4 linked regions of the Rattus norvegicus genome follow. The protein of the gene in region 1 interacts with the protein of each later gene in a biochemical or structural test. Links are inferred from orthologs where the notes say so. Each region holds a gene or a part of one and is shown on either strand. Other genes may lie near its edges.

The links. The genes of interacting proteins can lie anywhere in the genome.
Region 2: the proteins of Nrip1 (region 1) and Ahr form a complex in vitro, tested with the Homo sapiens proteins (2 studies listed by BioGRID). The link is inferred for Rattus norvegicus from reciprocal best matches to the Homo sapiens genes NRIP1 and AHR.
Region 3: the proteins of Nrip1 (region 1) and Ctbp1 form a complex in vitro, tested with the Homo sapiens proteins (2 studies listed by BioGRID and IntAct). The link is inferred for Rattus norvegicus from reciprocal best matches to the Homo sapiens genes NRIP1 and CTBP1.
Region 4: the proteins of Nrip1 (region 1) and Nr5a1 form a complex in vitro, tested with the Homo sapiens proteins (2 studies listed by BioGRID). The link is inferred for Rattus norvegicus from reciprocal best matches to the Homo sapiens genes NRIP1 and NR5A1.

What each region holds. Positions count from the first base shown.
Region 1 is NC_086029.1:28,463,610-28,467,615, reverse strand, and holds the start of Nrip1 (nuclear receptor-interacting protein 1), read left to right. Parts: upstream 1-1,203; 5' UTR 1,204-1,381; intron 1,382-4,006. UniProt on the Homo sapiens protein: Modulates transcriptional activation by steroid receptors such as NR3C1, NR3C2 and ESR1. Also modulates transcriptional repression by nuclear hormone receptors.
Region 2 is NC_086024.1:57,996,097-58,000,258, reverse strand, and holds the start of Ahr (aryl hydrocarbon receptor), read left to right. Parts: upstream 1-1,357; 5' UTR 1,358-1,385; coding exon 1,386-1,447; intron 1,448-4,162. UniProt on the Homo sapiens protein: Ligand-activated transcription factor that enables cells to adapt to changing conditions by sensing compounds from the environment, diet, microbiome and cellular metabolism, and which plays important roles in development, immunity and cancer.
Region 3 is NC_086032.1:81,678,668-81,682,900, forward strand, and holds the start of Ctbp1 (C-terminal-binding protein 1), read left to right. Parts: upstream 1-1,428; 5' UTR 1,429-1,584; coding exon of another isoform or gene 1,585-1,624; intron 1,625-1,735; exon of another isoform or gene 1,736-1,845; intron 1,846-3,633; exon of another isoform or gene 3,634-3,745; intron 3,746-4,233. UniProt on the Homo sapiens protein: Corepressor targeting diverse transcription regulators such as GLIS2 or BCL6. Has dehydrogenase activity. Involved in controlling the equilibrium between tubular and stacked structures in the Golgi complex.
Region 4 is NC_086021.1:42,893,242-42,897,486, reverse strand, and holds the start of Nr5a1 (steroidogenic factor 1), read left to right. Parts: upstream 1-1,440; 5' UTR 1,441-1,569; intron 1,570-3,822; exon of another isoform or gene 3,823-4,114; intron 4,115-4,245. UniProt on the Homo sapiens protein: Transcriptional activator. Essential for sexual differentiation and formation of the primary steroidogenic tissues. Binds to the Ad4 site found in the promoter region of steroidogenic P450 genes such as CYP11A, CYP11B and CYP21B.

The DNA.
Region 1 (4,006 bases):
GGCAAGATGCTAGAGTCAAAAACAAACGTGACATCTGGGGTAGGGGGAGCGTTAAAAGGAGGCTTCACAAGTAACATATGAAGGGAGTAGAGAGAATAGGATTTTAAAGCAGAAAACACAAGGAGAGGAAGAGATCACGGTTTCGTCTTTTTCTCTCCTCCCTCCACTTTCTAGCCTCACCAATCTGTTAGCCCCCCTCAAATTCAGAGGCGGGTTCAGCAAGACCAGGCTGCAGGAAACCCAGGTTTCGCTGCACTGCCACCCTGGCTCCGTGATGTAATTGTTATTTATTGAGACTCTGAACCCAGCAGAGCTGCTTAAAGAAGTGCCAGCCCATCTTCTAGTCCTGTTGGGTCAGATCCTTCCTGGGGGTGGTGCAGATTGGCGGGCAGACCCTACTGGAGACTTCGCAGTGACAAAGCAGCAGAAGATAAACCAGGTTCCTGGGTCCTGCGTCCGTCTAGGGAGCTGAGCTGTGCACTCCTCAGGTCTCCTTCCCAGTTTTCCGCTTGCAATCATGCCATATTTATTACTGGGTCCTACTAGGTGCTGAGGATGGGGTCAAAATGACCTAGAGTTATAGCGCCGTGGCTTCCGGAATTTAAGCGGGACACAGATTTCAAGGAGGTGGAAAATTGAGGGTGGGTAAAGGGCTCCAAGAGAACGCGTATTTGTGGGTTGAAACGGGAGAAAGGGAGACATTTAAGGTGCCAGCCCTTAGGTGGGGAACCTGGGGTAGGGTTAAGGCGCCCCGACTCCCCTTTGGTGCCCCCAGCGTTTGCCCCCGCAAGGGTGACATGGGCTATCGCCTGGCCCCTAGCGGGGAATCTGTCCAGGCGGCTGGCTGGACGCGGCTGGGAAGCCAGGGCGCCGGCTCGGGGAGCAAAGCACCCCCCTTCTCCGGTTCAACCGCGTCCTCCCTCTGCCTTCAAGGCCGCTCAGACCCGGACCCCCACCCGGAGCACCGGCGAGAAGGCCTGCAGACGCCGGGTGGGCTCCCGGGCTCCGGCAAGCCGCCGGGTGCGCGCTCCGCCCGGGTGACAATGGGAGGGAGGGGCAGAAAAGGGTTAAGAAACTTGGCTGAAGAGCTGAATGGCGTGGAGCAGCGAGGGGAGGGACCCGGCCGCCGCGAAGTCGGCGGCGGAGGGAGGAGCGCGGCTGCGGCGGGCGGGCGGCGAGCGAGGCGCTCAAAGTCAGCCTCGCAGACATTGCAGCAGAGCCCCGAACTCGGGAGGCGACGGCGACCGCGGCGCAGGCGGAGGACGAGCCGGCCCCAGCCCGCCGGTGCGCAGCGCCCGTGGCCTCGCGCGGCCGCAGGGCACGGCTAACCTGGGAAGGAGGGAGCGACGCGGATCGGCGGCCCGGAGCCGCGGCGGCCTCGGTGAGTGGCGATCGCGGCCCGGGCTCCGTGCGGAGCTCGCTGAGCGGACGCCGAGCCGCCCGGGCACGGCCTGGGTGCGCGGCCCGTGGAGGCGGCGGAGGCCGGGGGAGGCCCGCGGGGGGCTCCAGGGACACGGATCCCGGGGACAGCGCGCCGCCGCGCCCCTCTCCGGCTCTCCCCGGGAACTCGCGGGCCCGGCCGGCGCAGCCGCCAAGTTGTGGAGTTCCCAGCCGCGGGCTCGTCCGTGCCAGCCTTGGCGCGAGGGGCGCAGCCGCCCTGGGTGTAATGCGCCGGGACCCACGCGGGTGGCCGGATCGCGGGGCCCGGGTCGAGCTCGCCCGCCCGCCCGGCTGCCCCCGTTGGCCCCGAGCCCCGGGCGCTGGCTGCAGCCCCGCTCGGTCCTGCCGCCCAGCGGTGCTCGCGGTGGCGCCCGCGCAGCTCCCCGCCTATCGCCGGTTTCTCCCTTGCGCGGTGCTCGCCGATTCCCGGCCGGGAAAAGTGACTCGGAGAAGGGACAGCGCTGAGCCCCAGGCCCGGCCTGCTGGGCACGAGCTCCCCGCCTGCCGAGGAGGGCGAGGCCCCTTGCACCCGAGGCCTCAGCCCAGTTCCCCCAGCATCCGAGAGGGGTTCACTCGGGTGAGCCTGGTGAAGTCCTGAGAGACTGCTCTTCTCTCTGGTGCCACTGTCCTCCTTACTACTATTGTTGCTAGAAGAAACCCTCTTCCGCGGAAACATTCCCCTAGACCCTCCCATCCTTCCCAAAGTAGTTTCCAAATTTTAATCAGGAGTTGATATTCAGACGGAAGGAACAAAGGAATCCACTGTGTTTAAAAGGCGGACAGGCAGTGAGTCTGACACATGTTGATCTCTGAGGCATTCCACGAGTTTCTACCTTCCATCATGTCAGAAATTTAATTGGATTCTGGCGGTCGCAAACGAAGTATGAAACGTTAGGTAATTTTACGTTAAAATACTTTACTTTTTTAAATTAATGGATCATTTTAGTTAGAGGGAAGTCCGGACATTGTTAGGTGCAAGAACTTTTAACTCTTTTTTTTTTGATGGCACCAGGCTGGAGTTTGTCTGCTCTTGTAACTGATTGTGACACTGAGCGAAAACAGTGTTTTTAGAGAAAGAGAGACAGTCTAAAAGTAAAACAAGATTGGAGTGTCTGTGTGTCTGTCTGTCTGTGTGTATGCTTAAACGATGTGTAGTCTATCTCTTGGGTTTTGTAAAGCAGGGACTTCGGTAATTCATTCTTTAGAGTTATGAATTACATTGAACCCGCTTATTAGTGAATCATGGGTTTAGCAAGTGGGCGGCATCTTCCAGATGCAATTATCCAGTGTTTAATCATCAGGTTGCCACCTTTGTCTAAGAGACGGAGTCGACTTTTTAAGCAAACGGTGGGTGCTTCACATGCATGGCCCCTAAGAGTGGCTGCAGCCTGGGAAAATGTTGAAATCTTCCCCTTCCAAGTGAGTTGCCCTGGTTTGGCCCAGCAGTTTGTCCATAGGGTTTAATTGATCCAACAGGAACTTTCTGTGTAGGACTTAGTAGAGACAAAGGAGAGTCAGTCATGCCGCAGGCAATACCTGCAAACTGGAGCCTCACCCCAGCCTGTTCTATACTGTACTGGGAAGACTCCACACTTAAAGTACAAGGAGCGAGAAGAAAATATCCTTAAAAAGTATACTTCAAAACTCTAAGGAGGGCTTCGGTTGCTGCTTATATACAGGTAGTTGAAAACCAGCTTTCATGCCTACGAGAAGACTTAGAAATCTGAGTTTCCAAACTTTGCAGAACTTGGATTTTTGTAATTGAGATACCTGAAAATAATTGTGGGTTAGCAATGGAGAAATGTTTGTGGATGAGGCCAGGGCTCCTCTGACTCCTCCAGTTTTAAGAGCAAAACGTTGTGATTAAAAAAATAACCTATACCACCACCTAGAGTCTGTTTGTTAGTTTATTGCTCTTGGAGTTTGCTTACATTGACGTGTCCCTCGTGGTTACTGTATAGTCAAAACAAGATTAAGGAATTCAGGCTTTTCAGAGGCCATCCAGGAGAACACTTATTTAAGTAATGCATAGCAAGTGCCAATTTAAATTATCCACGACACTTTCAGAACCGAAAATTATGACATATCAACTCAAGTGGGCCAGTCTCCGAAAGATACTAATTCAAAAGAAAAAAAATTTAAAGACAGCTTCTTTTAGCTTGTGCTCCAAGGTGGCCCTGAGTGCAAAAAGATTTCCTGTGATACGAGAGATTCAAGAAATGTGACAAAATAAGTGTTCTCGGTGCCTTTTGAGGTTTTTTTTTGGGGGGGGGAGGGCGACAAAAGCGATGACAAAAGTATAGAGAGAGGGATGTTGCCATTACCAACATTTTAAACACTGAGAAGGTTAGAGAGACGGTAGACCGTCTTGGAAGCTGGGATAAGGTGTTTGGGAATACAGTCAGTGAAACAGTGATAACCTGTCCTACTGGAGGTTTGTGAGTGGCAAAGCAGTCTGTTAAACAGGAGGCCTGAGGGCGGCAGCCTCTACCCTTCTGCTTATCACATTGTCCGAGGAGGAAGTAACGCTCCTCCTCTAACCGTCTAGCCTGAAAGATGGCCTCCA
Region 2 (4,162 bases), on another chromosome or scaffold:
TTCATCTGCGTCTCCACCATGTCCAGCATCACCGCCCTGACTCCCAAAATGCACTGCTCTGCCTCTATTCTTTGGTGGTTAACAGCCAACTTCCCTCCTTTACTATCTCTGCCTTCTTCTCCCTCATCCCTATTGCTGTGCCATCGGACTTGCACCTGCACGGCTTCAGACTTCATCAACTTCCCAGCGACTCTCTCTTCATCCACTTTGCTCCCGAGTAACAGAATTGCCACCTCTTCCCACAGTGACTTTCCCGAGATAGCAGGAATAGTATCTTCCAAATTCAGGCTTTAAAAGTGTCCCATCGCCTACAGAATGAGACCCAACTTCTTTATTAAGGCTTGATGATTGGTTTCTTGGTTTTCTGAGTATCCATTACATTTTTTTTTCCTACCACCAGATCTACCGGACTACCAACAAAGGCTCAGCTCTCTGGTCATAGTCTTAGTACCTATCCTCCCATTTCTCAGCACCCCTATGCTTCTTTCCTACACATCTTCCTGAAGTCTGATGAAGAAAAAGATATTTTATTACCTTCTGTAGATACAGTAAATGTGGGAGGGAAAGGTATTATAAAACTCCTGGCCTTCAAGGCTCAACTCTGTAGGGCTTCTGTAGCTTTCCCCTTAGAGTGCTCTTCAGTCACAGTATTTATCAACCAGCTCAATGTAAAATCTTTGTCAAAACTTAGATGACTCAACTCTAGGAGGAGCTAAGCTCTTTGCCTAATAAATCTTGATGTCTGGGTACAAGGAATTTGCCCAGACATAATGTGGCCTCACACTCCCTTCCAGGCTGGAAAACAGGTACTAGTTGAACACCACCCCGCCTCCAGAACCTCTGGCTGGAAGAAATGTAGGGAGACACTACGTCCTGCGTCATCACGTGCTGCGAGGAGGGTGGGGCCCTCCTGGGAACCGTGAGGGGCGGGGCTGAGCAGGTGGGGCGGGGCTGGAGCCCGGGGCGGAGCTGCGCGGGGTCGCGACAGCGGAGGAGCGGGCTCGCGGCGGGCGGCAGCGCGTGTGTGCGGTCCCCTCGACGCTCGGTGCCCCACGCGTGTCCCGGAGAGGTTCAGCCCGGAGCGACCCGGAGGACGGACTGGTAGACTCTGGGGTGGCAGCCTTGCTGGGCTTTGAGCAGCGCGGGCTTATCGCCTGAGCAGGGAAGCCCTTGAGCACTACGGCTCCTCCTGACCCTCGGGACCGGGCGCGGCTGGCTTGCGGGTTTCTCCTCCGCGGCTAGCCCGGGCAGCCCCGCGTCCCCTCTGTCGCCCGCACCTGCGCGTCGCGGTCGGTCCCGCCCTCGGTGGCGGCGGCTCACCTGGGCGCAGCGCGGGCAGGGCGCCGCCTCCGGGACGCAGGTGGAGCGGGCAGGGCGCGGGCACCATGAGCAGCGGCGCCAACATCACCTATGCCAGCCGCAAGCGGCGCAAGCCGGTGCAGAAAACGTGAGTGACGGCGGGCAGGCGCGCTCTGCGGGTGCGGGAGGTCCCCACGCGTGCAGCCATCCGGGAGCAGGGGCTCAACCAATGCATTAAAAAATTCGTCCCTGCTTTCGGGCGCCTGCACCTTCGCAGCTCAGCGACCTTCCCTGGCCCTGATTCGTTGACAGCTCTGACCTACCTAGTGCCTCTCTGGCTTAGTTAGTTAAGCCTGCCTGGAAATCCTCCACTCTAGATCTCCACCGTGGTGAGCTTTAGGGGACAGCTCACTGAGGTGAGAAGTTGGCCAGAGCTAAACACGTGCCGTCTTGAAGGAGGGGTCCTGGCCTCTGAGGGAATTTCTTTCTGTTCTTAGCGTCTAGCTTTCTGTTTTGCTCTTTCCTTTACCTCTAGGCAGCGATTTTGCCGGGCTCAGAATAGGCGCAGAGTTGGTAGCAGGTTGGAGTGTGCCTTGGACAGGTGCTCGGGCGGCTTGGTGGCATTCATAGCCACTCTTTAGTGACACTTTCTTCCTCCTTTTGGAGTGCTTGTAGGGTATATAAAATTTTTTAAAAATTAAGGAGAGGAAAAAGAACTGGACTGACTTCTAAGTTATTTCTACTGTCTACCTGTAATTCATCTCCCCTTGCTTATAAAGTTTTGCCGATTCTAACAGTGATTACAGACTTTGGTCTTTGTTTCCATGGGCTATTTCTGTGAGATGGGAGATATTCATAAACATTTTTTTTCACAGAAAAGAGATCCGAGCATGAGACAGGGTTCCATTTAGGAGTTGGGTGTATTGATGCATTCATTCATAATTATCTTGGAGTTTCCACAACTCACCATTTCTTATTTTTTTAAATAAATTATTTTAGGAACACTTTCAGGTAATCAGTAGTGTGCATTTTGCTTGAAACCTGACAGCCATCACCAAGTGAACCAGAAAAATAAGATCTTAAGATTTATACACTGTTTACAACTAGTTACTAACTTAGAACTTGGGTTATTTGTGGATTTTAATTCCGTTAAGAATTTCAACTGTCATAGTTCTTCAAATCTTGACTTAAAAATTAATTTTAAGAGGAGATGCTTGTGTATAAATAGTCTGATCAGAATTTGGAAATTTTATGGTACACTTTAAAGGACGCAAATATCGTTGACTCAGCAGTTTTCCACCTCGGCAGTTCTTTGGACCCCGGCTTTCAGCGCCTTGTTATTTTGTAAAATGGTTTCTTTTTATTAAACCATGTTTGCTCAATTTGACTTTGTTCCTGATGGTTAAAGTTTCAGAGGCTTTTAAGTGCTTGTTCCCTGTTTTTGTTAATAGTAATACTAACTTAGCCTGAGATGAAAAAAACTCAGATGTTATGTACAAGGGCGTAAAGTCTGAAGCTCCCCGTGAGTTTTTTAAATAACTGATTTTCTCTGTGTTTCTTAAGGATGTAAACTGCTTTTCATACAAAGGTAACCATCTCAGAGGTTGCTCTTTATAACGTTGGATATCTTTAGTTTCCAGTCAATATAAAGAGCTTCCTTTTTAACACTGCAACACTTCCCCTTAGATTAAGATACCTTTAACTGTATTGCCACTATTTGTGTTTGATAATTTCTCACAACTGAACTGTTGTCCCCACTAACTTATATTTTATTTTACATGGTTCTTGACTTCTGTACTGAGCCCCTTTAATCAACTCTAACCCTTCATAGGCCTTAAAGGTCACCACTTGCTTTGTCGAAGACTTTTAGTGCTAGCACTTAGATCCTCTAGTGAAAGTACTTACATTTTTCCCTCCGAGTAGAAAATAGTGAACTTTATAATGCACATAATCAAAGTTCATCCTTAACAATTAGATCATTGAGCTTTAATATGTCTTTAAGTTAAACTACTTCTATGCAGTGAGGCCCCCAAATACCTCAATTTTAGGAAAAACACAAAGATGTGTTGACCGTGCTTTCTAATTAACTCGAACCCTTCAAGGGAGAGCTGTTTTATAAGGAGCATGTGCACTGTAATTCTACAGTGTTAAATAATGTCATATTTAGACAGTTCCATGAAAATTTGGAGTAAAGTAGGTGACATGATTTCAACTTGAAGCTTGTTCATTCTTCAAATGAGGATCTAGATACAAAATAAGCTCCCTCTGGTGGCTGGTCTCACCATGACAGTTATCGGGAGCAGGAAGTGAGTTTGAAATGTGTTCAATTTCATCCCCGTACAGTGTTTCATATGCACTGCCCTGTGAACAACTGTTTCCTTCTTCAGTGCAGTGAAAGTTAGGAGATTAAGAGATCCAAAGCAGTCTTGCACCCAGTCCATATCCTCATCTTCAAGGGCAGCATTTCAAAGACCAACCCGGGGACAGAATCTTCTTCGATGTTTCTTAGCTAGTGGTCCCACACTTCGTGTCTGCTTTCAGTTAAATTCCGTTCTTGCTTATTCCCTTCGGAGAGGAAAATGCTGTGTGGGATCGTTTAGCTGTTCTGTGTCATGAAGATGGCGGAATGAGGCTCAAACGATGGAATGATCTACTCCAGTGATTAAAACTTTAAATGCGTCTTTGAAGCTTTACTAAGACAGAAAAGGTCCTACTGCTGTTGTAGTTTAGGATCATCAGCAAATAATAGATGGTCAATAAATACACCCTGCAGTTGTGATGGCATTCAAGCCAGCCAGGGCAAGGTGCCAGCTTTCAAAGGTCCCATGATCTGCTGCTAAGGTACACACGGATAGCAACCTTT
Region 3 (4,233 bases), on another chromosome or scaffold:
CACTTTCTTACTGGCACCGGGATGATGGCTCAGGGGTCAGGCCTCAAGCAGTGCTGAGCAGAGTGGAGTGAGGGTGAATGCGGCCCAACAGACACCAGATCCTCTCTTAGAAGCAGGTGGTTACAGGTGCCTTTGGGCAAGCCTAAGGTCAGAGGGTCTCTTAGGATGGGCATGTTCAGAACCACCTGTCCGTTTCCACATCTCTACCTAGTGGTTTTCCACCTCATATCCTTAGGAGCAGACTCCTGCCTGCAGGGACCATCCTTGGAGTAGGAGTCCAAGTCAGTGTGGTGGTGCCAAGAAGCCTGGGTTTCCGTTCAGTGCTTCCGTCCCTAAGGGTTTTTAAACAAGCCAGAATATAATCCCTCACAGGGATGGAGTGATGTGGTGGTCCTAGTCGCACTGTGCAGGAAAAATGAGAGTTTGGGCAGGCTGAGAAGGAACGGGAGGTGCCACGCTGCCGTGGAGTTGCTATGTTGGATGGAAGAACTGGGAGGAGCCCTTTGGATAATTCGTAGGGAATTACCTGCAGCTCGAGAAAACGGAGCAGAGGAGAGACAGTCCGGGATAGGGGTGGGGATTAAGGTGGGGTACACCTGCTGGCTTCCCCCTAACCCTCAATCTATTTCCTCGGTATTGTAGCAGGCTTGAGACTCCACCTGTTAGATCCTTTTCTCCATTCATGTCTGCCAATGGATCGAATTGGAAAGGTATTTTCAAAGCATTTGTTCTGTAAACAGATGCCCAGACCCTTGTCATCCCGCACTGAATCTGCCTACCTTTCTTAAAGATTTGGTTTTCAAAACACGTAGGTAACAAGATGGCTTTCAGCATCCTTCAGTTTGGGTTGTTTTCGTGATTTAAATATACACATATTTTTTAAACAGCTAAGCGGTATCACTCGCTACGCTCGCCTGACAGTTCCACCAACAGCTAGGCTCTTACTCTGCGTGCCCGGAGGGTATGTGACCCTGTGCACAGATCACTTTCCCTGGCGGGGCGCTGTCCAGCTCCTGGGTCCTGCGTTCTGGGTCCGCGGCCCCAGCTCCAGCGCACAAGGGGCCGAGTGCACCCTCTCGCTGTCCTCTTGAGTCCGCGGCGACTAGCCCGGTAGCGCCCCACGCGGATGGGCTGCTTCACCACTCGGGCTCCAGCCCAGGTCACCGAGCCAAGGAGTGGCAGGGGCACAGTCCCGGGTACGCGCAGGGGAGGGGAGGCCGGGGGCGGGTACAGCTGGGGGCGTGTCCAGGAAGGGAATCCAGCCTGGGAGGGGCGCGGGGGGTGGGGGCCGAGCGCCGGGCCGGCGGGCAGCTGGGCCCCTGAGCCGCCCGCGTACGTCCAGCGCGCCGCCTTGCCGGCAAACAGCAGACCAACCGAGGCCACGCCCGCGCGCGCGCGCCGCGTGTCCCCGCCCGCTCGTCGGTCGGAGCGCGGCTGGCGGCGCGGTGGCGGCTCGGCACGGCGGTGGCCGGTCGCAGGCGGCCGGGCGGAATAGCAGACTGCGCCGAAGCCGCCCCAGGCGCAGGGCTCGCGGCGGCGGAGAGCGCCGGACTCATCGGGGCCCGCGGCCACCCGCGCCTTTCAATGGGCAGCTCGCACTTGCTCAACAAGGGCCTGCCGCTGGGTAAGGCCGCGCGCGCACATTTCCGGCTGCGGGCGGGGGGCGGGGGCGGGGCGGCCGGGCGCGCGCAGCGCTGGCTTTGTGTACGAGTGCGCGTGCGCGCTCGGCGCGCGCGCTGGGGACCCGTGCGGCTAACGGGAGGTGCGCATGCGCGAACTGCTGTACAGGCGTGCGCGTGCGTGTGCGCGTCCCTATTTTCCGCTGCCCGCTCGCGACTTGCGCAGGTGACAAAGGGGTCTGTGGTGTTACGACCCAGGCTGTGACCGAGCGGGGCCTATCCTCCTGGCCCGCGGCCCCGCGAGAATCCTTCTCGTGGATACCCAGGCCGGACCTAGGTGTTCCCGGAGTGAGGAGCCTGCGGATTCCGCATGGGCCTCGGGTTGGCAAATCCGGGAGCGGGTAGTCTCTAGAGGTGGCACTGAGGGGACGTGGGTGGCCTACATGCCTATCACCCCTCTAGACGACTTAGTGATGCTCAGCTTGGCCCCTGGATTTGGACCACTTAAGTTTTTTATTCATTTATGAAAGTCCTTAAGCCACAGGGGTCCTGCCTGTGGAGGGCAGTCCTTCCTTGGCAGCGTTCCCTGGCCGCGCAGCCTGGCGCACGCGCAGTGAAGACGACCCCACCTTCGGGCGGGGCAGCCCAGAGGTTTCAGAGCTCCGGAGGAGCTTTGGCCCACTGTCCAAGCGCCCCATGGTGTCTATCCCTGGCGCTTCCACCTTAATGATGACAGGGCTTGACCCGAGCTCTGCCCTCACAAGGGTACTGCCTTCTTCCTCTTAACCTGAAAGATGCAGAGGAAGAATCCTTGCAGCGTGTGCTGCCAGCAGGAAATAAGGAACTGTGGGCAGGAGGGGAAAAGGGAGGCGCCCTGTGATGGCCTACTGCACCTCTTATCAGACAAGGCCATTTTGCAGATCCTGTCAGTCTGTTTCAGGGTGTGGCGGGGTAAGGCCCTCCAGGCCTGCCTCTATCCTGGACTGGTGGTGGGTACTCCTCCCCCACACTGCACCTACACACACACACACACACACACACACAAACACACACACACACACATTATATATATACACACCCACACATATGTGTGTGTGTTTGTGGGAAGAGACTCTGCACTCAAACCAGCAGGGTTATAAGCCAGAATTTCCCATGGGTTGGGGAGGATAGGCCCAGCCATTGCCTTCCAGAAATAAGCAGGACAGCCTTCATCCTGGCCTTGCCTGTCAAACCTTTCCTGGTCCAGAGCCATGCCCCTTGTCTTGATGAGCTTTCAATTGGTTAGGACAAATTTGCCTTCTAGGAAAGAAAAGGGAAAGAATTTAGTTGTCCAGTATTCAGGAAGGTGAACCCGTGAGACAGGGTGTCAGCAAGATGATACCTAGTGGTTTTATTCCCCAGGTAGTGTGTTACCTTACTGTGTTCTGCTTTGTCACTTCCAGAATCCGAGAGCACATGCCTATTATAAAAAAGAATGCACAGGATGCTTACCCCAGTGTGGGCAGCATGTAGGACATCGGGGCTACTGCCCTAGAGTGGGGCCAACATCTTTGAGTCCTGGGGTAGCATGATCTCTGGAAGAATGATGGCAGGGCATGGTTATGGGCCTGGGCTCATGTGTGATCTCTCTGTTTCATCTGCAACATGGGGTGACAGCTGTGGGATGTGCCAAGTTCAGGGATAGCATTGTGGGTGTGTGGGGTAATATTGTTCCCTGGAACTGTATGTGTTTCCTTGTCTTGTTACTATTTAGGGTGGCAACTGTGGTTTGAGGCTGCCCTTTCTCTGCTCTGGAGCTTGGTCAGGCATGGCCCTGCTGTGTGTGTCAGCCTGGCTTCCACAGATGTCTGAGGGCACTGTGCCATGTTAGTTGTACATAATGTGGACTGGGGCCTGTAGATTCTTGGTGGGACCTTCGTGATATGCTGCTCTTGCAGTGGCCTCTGATCTCTTTTCTGTCATCTGTGGGTCTTTGACAAGTTTCAGCCGAGTGCTTCGCCTTTCTCCAGATGATCCTCATGCTCAGAGAGGTCTGGTATCCCCTTCAGGGTTCCAAGTGGGATCAGATCCCTGGCTCCAGCCTTCCAACAGCTCACTGTTTCCTACCTGCCTTTTGAACTTCATTGGTGAGTGCCCTCTGGCAAGAAACTTCTGTGAGCATTCATCCTCAGTCCTGGGTACTGCTGAGGACACCCTTGGGTAGGGCCCTGTCCGTGTGACCTACTAGCCCTGTGGCTCCCTGGCATGGTATGTGAAGCAGACCTGTCCTGAGGTCTTTTCTGCACGGTAACACCTTTACACTAGCTTTCATTCTACTAGTGTCAGGGAAGGATTTGGCTTGCATGGTGCTGGGCAGGGTGGCCTGCCTGTAAGCCCTGAGATGTAAGCTGCTACACAGGAGAAGTAGCAGCTTATGTGGAGTTAGTTTTGTAGTTCAGCTATGTCACCTGAAGTCTGCCAGCACCAGGGCCTGCATTCTGCATCCTCCCAGTCACTGCCATCAGTGACTCGCTGAGTTCTGTGGGGTAGGTATGTTCAGCCTCCTGAGTCTTTCAGCAGTCCTGCAGCAGCTGTAGCACCCTTGACCCTCAGGTTCTGAGGGTCATGATCATGA
Region 4 (4,245 bases), on another chromosome or scaffold:
TCAGGGCCCTCAATCCTTCCCCCACTACAAGACTTCCTGGGCTCCCTCCAATGTTTGACTGTAGGTCTCTGTGTCATTTTCAGCCAGATGCTGGGTGGAACCTCTTAAGGGATGGTTATGCTAGGTGCCTGTCTGCAAGCATAGCAGAGTATCGTTAATAGGAACTCAGTATTTTTTTTTTTAATTTGAAGCAGGCCACAGTGGCTCTTGCTTATGATCCCAGCCCTCACAAGGGAGTAGCTGGAAAGTTAGAGACCAGCCTAAGCTACATAATGAGACACTGTCTCAAACCTAAACAACAGAAACCTAAGTGGTAACATGAGGAGAAGACACTCTGAACTCAAATCTAAATTGGCTCACTTATCCAGAAAAGGCTCTATCATTCAGAGCTACATAAATGAGAAGCTTTGCTTGACTTGCCTGTCTTTCCAAGTGAAGTGGGAGTTCTCAACAGGGTCCCTACTTGGTGGCCTCAGGCCCCTGAACTGTGCCTCAGAACAAATGGTTGCAAAGTCTCTCATGACAGAGGCTCCCAGGTCCTCAGCATGGTGTCCCCTAGTGCCTAGAACTGTGCTTGGCTCACAGAGTTCACAGTCTATAGGAGATGTAGACGGAATGAACAGATGGGTTACTCCAGAGGTGTGGGATGGAGGGCCATGAAGGGCTCAGCGATCAGGATCCAATCCGTCTAGGCCAGTTCAGGAACTGGCTAAGCAGGGATGCCTGGCCTTCTAGGAAAATAAAAAACAAAAACAAACAAACAAACAAACAAAAACTCCTTCCCTACCTGGGTCTACCCACATAGTCCTACCTGAAGTCCCTGTAGCCACACCCTTAGCCCAGCAGTGTTGGCACAGCCTCGGTTTCCCCAAGGAAATGGAGACCATCTCTACAGCTCCCAATGCACAGTAATATTCAGAGAAGCCACCAAAAAGGGCCCAAGAACCCCACCTGATGGAGACACTAGCCATTCTGACTCCTCACTCAGGTCTGGGACAAGCTGGACCACGCAGCCCAGGCCAGAACCCAGGGAGGAAGCCATTCAAGGGGAGAAACTCCCAGCCTGGTGAGGGAGCAGCCCATAAATCAGGTCCCACTCCCACCCAGTCACTAACAAGCCGCTGCCTATCTGCCTACATGGGGTCCCTGCCTCAGGCTCCCACAGCAGCAGCCTGCACAACCAGCTGGCCCAGGCCTCCCCAGTGCCTTGGCCTCTGCCCCCACCCAGGGCCCCCATAAAGATAGGAATATTTTTTTTCTTTTAGAAGAGTGAAAAAAGATATAGACCCAAATGAAGAGAAACACCAATAAAGGAGGAGAAAGGCCTGCAGAGTCACGTGGGGGCAGAGACCAATTGGGCCTCCGGTGGCCCCCCCCACCCATGAGGGGAGGAGGAGAGGACGATCGGACAGGGCCAGTTTGCAGTCCGCCGCTGCCTGCCCGCTGCTGGGGGAAGAAGTTCCTGACAGCCCGATAGCCACTGCCCTACCTGGGGCCTGGGAACCTCCCCACCAGGACCCTGGTGCCCAGTGTCCACCCTTATCCGGCTGAGAATTCTCCTTCCGTTCAGTAAGTGAAGGCCGGGGCCCAGGCCTCTACTGGCCAGCCTCCCTCCTCAGTGCCTTGCTCCGGCCTAGACTGGCCATTGCCTGCTCTACAGAATGACCAGTTCCTACCACTCTGGGCAGGGAAAAGGCCAGGGGTCTCCCCAGGTCCATTTCCCCATTACAACACCCCTCATCTCTTCCTATGGTGTGCTACAGAGGAGTTAGGCCTATGGCGACAGACCCTAGGGTTTGAGGGTGGTTGGTGGTGTCTTAGAGGTGGCCGGGGGTTCCTGAGAGTATGGTGTTCCGTGTCTGTCCTGAGGGTCTTCTGGATTTGGAGTCTTGCTGCCTGAGTGTCTGGCTTGCCTCTGTGTAGGTATCTGAGCCTCCATGTGTGTATGTCTGTGTTTCTACTGTCAGTCAGGGTCAGAGTCTTACTTTGCTTCCCTGGGTAGATGGATGAAAGGGTGTGAGTCACTGTAAGGGTATACAGGGAGAGGGGGCATTCAGTGGAACCCTGGAAGAAAGGGCTGAGATACAGGCAGAAAGAGAGAGAGCAGCTTGGTGCCCATCCCCCATCCCACCAGGGATTTAGCCCAGAGCCCACATCATCCCAGATGCCCCTGGTGGGCTACTCTAGAGATGCCAGTCAGGAGCCCAGCCCCCATTTCTTCGTCCCCGCTGCCTACTGGCCTCTGTGCCTAGGTTCATCTGGGGACTTTTGTTTTGGTTTTGTTTGTGTTTTTGCGACTAGAAATGAAATGGCAGAGCCTCACACTGGGCGTGGTCTGCCATTGAACCCCATTCCCTCCCCAGTTTCACTTTCTGAGGGTTCCTATCTGAAGGGGATTTGTGCAAAAGCCTATATAGCCCCTATCCCTGAGGTGTAAGTGCTCAGTGTGGGGAGAGGGCCTGACACGCCTCTGGCTCTGGCTCTGTCCTTCTACGATTCACCCACGCAATTTCACTCAACACAGCTCTGTAGGACAGGAAGGCAGTGACTTGCCTGAGCTAGGACAGCCAAGTCCGTCAGATTCTGTGGTGCTTCCCTCCATGAATGTCTTGAGAGGCTCGCTGTGCTGGGTCTTCAGCTTTATGCAAGCACCCTAGTCCGGCACTCACAGAAACCCGAGCTACGGGGTGGGATCCATACCGAGTTTTGGATGGGTGGTTCTCGGCCAAGGCATAACTGCTGTACTTCCCCACTGAGGCTTTCTGGAATCCATTTCCAGCCTCCCGAACTGCCTTCCACCCCCTGGTGGCTAAGGGGACTGGGCTGGGTTGAGTAGGCCTCTTCAAAGATCTCTCAACCACAGTTACTTAACTTGAAAAGCTGTGTGGTCTGGTGGACGTTTGCAGCCCAGAACAACTGCTTTGCCACCTCACCCGCAGGACCAGTATTCCAGAGGCTCCCGTTCTCTCCCCCTCCCCCTATGCCCAAGCTAGAGGATAGCTCACAGGGGCGCGTGGGTACAGCTCCACAGCTTAGCTTTTGGGTCTCTGAGCCCATGGAGCTCAGGCTGCTTACCAGACCTTGGGATGTCGCAGAGTGGGATAACCATGCTTCCCATTTCCACACGAGCACCCTGAGGGAGACTCCTGGAAATGGGGTTCGCCCCGAACTCTTGCTGTCCACTCCACCGCATCCATTTTCAGCCACCCTCTGGAAGAGCTGGCTTCGGCAGCCTGAGTAGGCAAATGTGGCAGTGCTAACTCAAAAGTCTAGTTTCTTCCTTGCTTGTGCCTTGCCCACCACCCCACTCATGCCCTTAACCAATTTCACACGGCAAAACGACCAGCGTTCAGGCCTTGGCACCCCTAAACTGGACTAGCAAACCGGAGCTCGCCTCCTCCCTGCGCAGGCGGAGGCCCGAAGCTTCCCCGCGCACGGCACCTGACCGTATTCTGGGGTGCTCAGGGTCCCCAATTCTCTTAGAACTCGCGGGCTTCGGAGGATCGAGCTGGGACTGGAGGGCCAGGAGGTGAGGGTGAAGGCCGAGAGGGGCTGTAGAGAGGGTAGGACACAGGCCGGGTTGTGGGGAGGACAAGGACCGCGCCTCCGCCCCCGGATACCGCACGCGCGCATATAGAGCGGCCACCCCGGCCCCGCGCGGCGGGTTCGCGAAGCGCGCAGTGCGGCGGAGGGGCCCGGGTCCCAGGTGCGCCTCGAGCAGCCCCGCAGGCGGCGGGCGCGGGGAGGCGGGGGCAGAGCGGGACGGTCTCCCCGCCCCCGGCCCGAGTGGCCGTCATTGCGGGCGGGCGGGCGGGCGGGCGGCGCTGAGCCCGGGTGCGGCTTCATCGCGGGCGGCGGCGCGGCCAAAAGGTGCGGGGCTCGGTGCGGGCCGAACGCGGGGTGCTGCTCGCGGGAGCGGCCTGTGTGGGCGCCGCCGTCGTACCGGCCCTCACATTCCCGGCCACGGCTCTCGGGATCTGGACTCCCCGTCTGAGGTCTACCGGAGCCTGTATCCCCTTCTCTGTACCCCGTCTCCGCCGGAGGTCTCCGCCCCGCGCCCTCGACCCCGCTGCGCCCTCCACGCCCGCTCTCGGCCCGACGTCTCGGCTCGCCGGTGGGTGCCGTCGCTGCGTGGCTTTGTCTGCGGACCCAGCGGCCCGGCTCCAGGGTTCTCTGCTTCTCAGGGTCGGCCCCTGTCCCTCCACGGGGCCACGCCTTGGAGCTCTCTGCCCGCGTGTCTCCCCA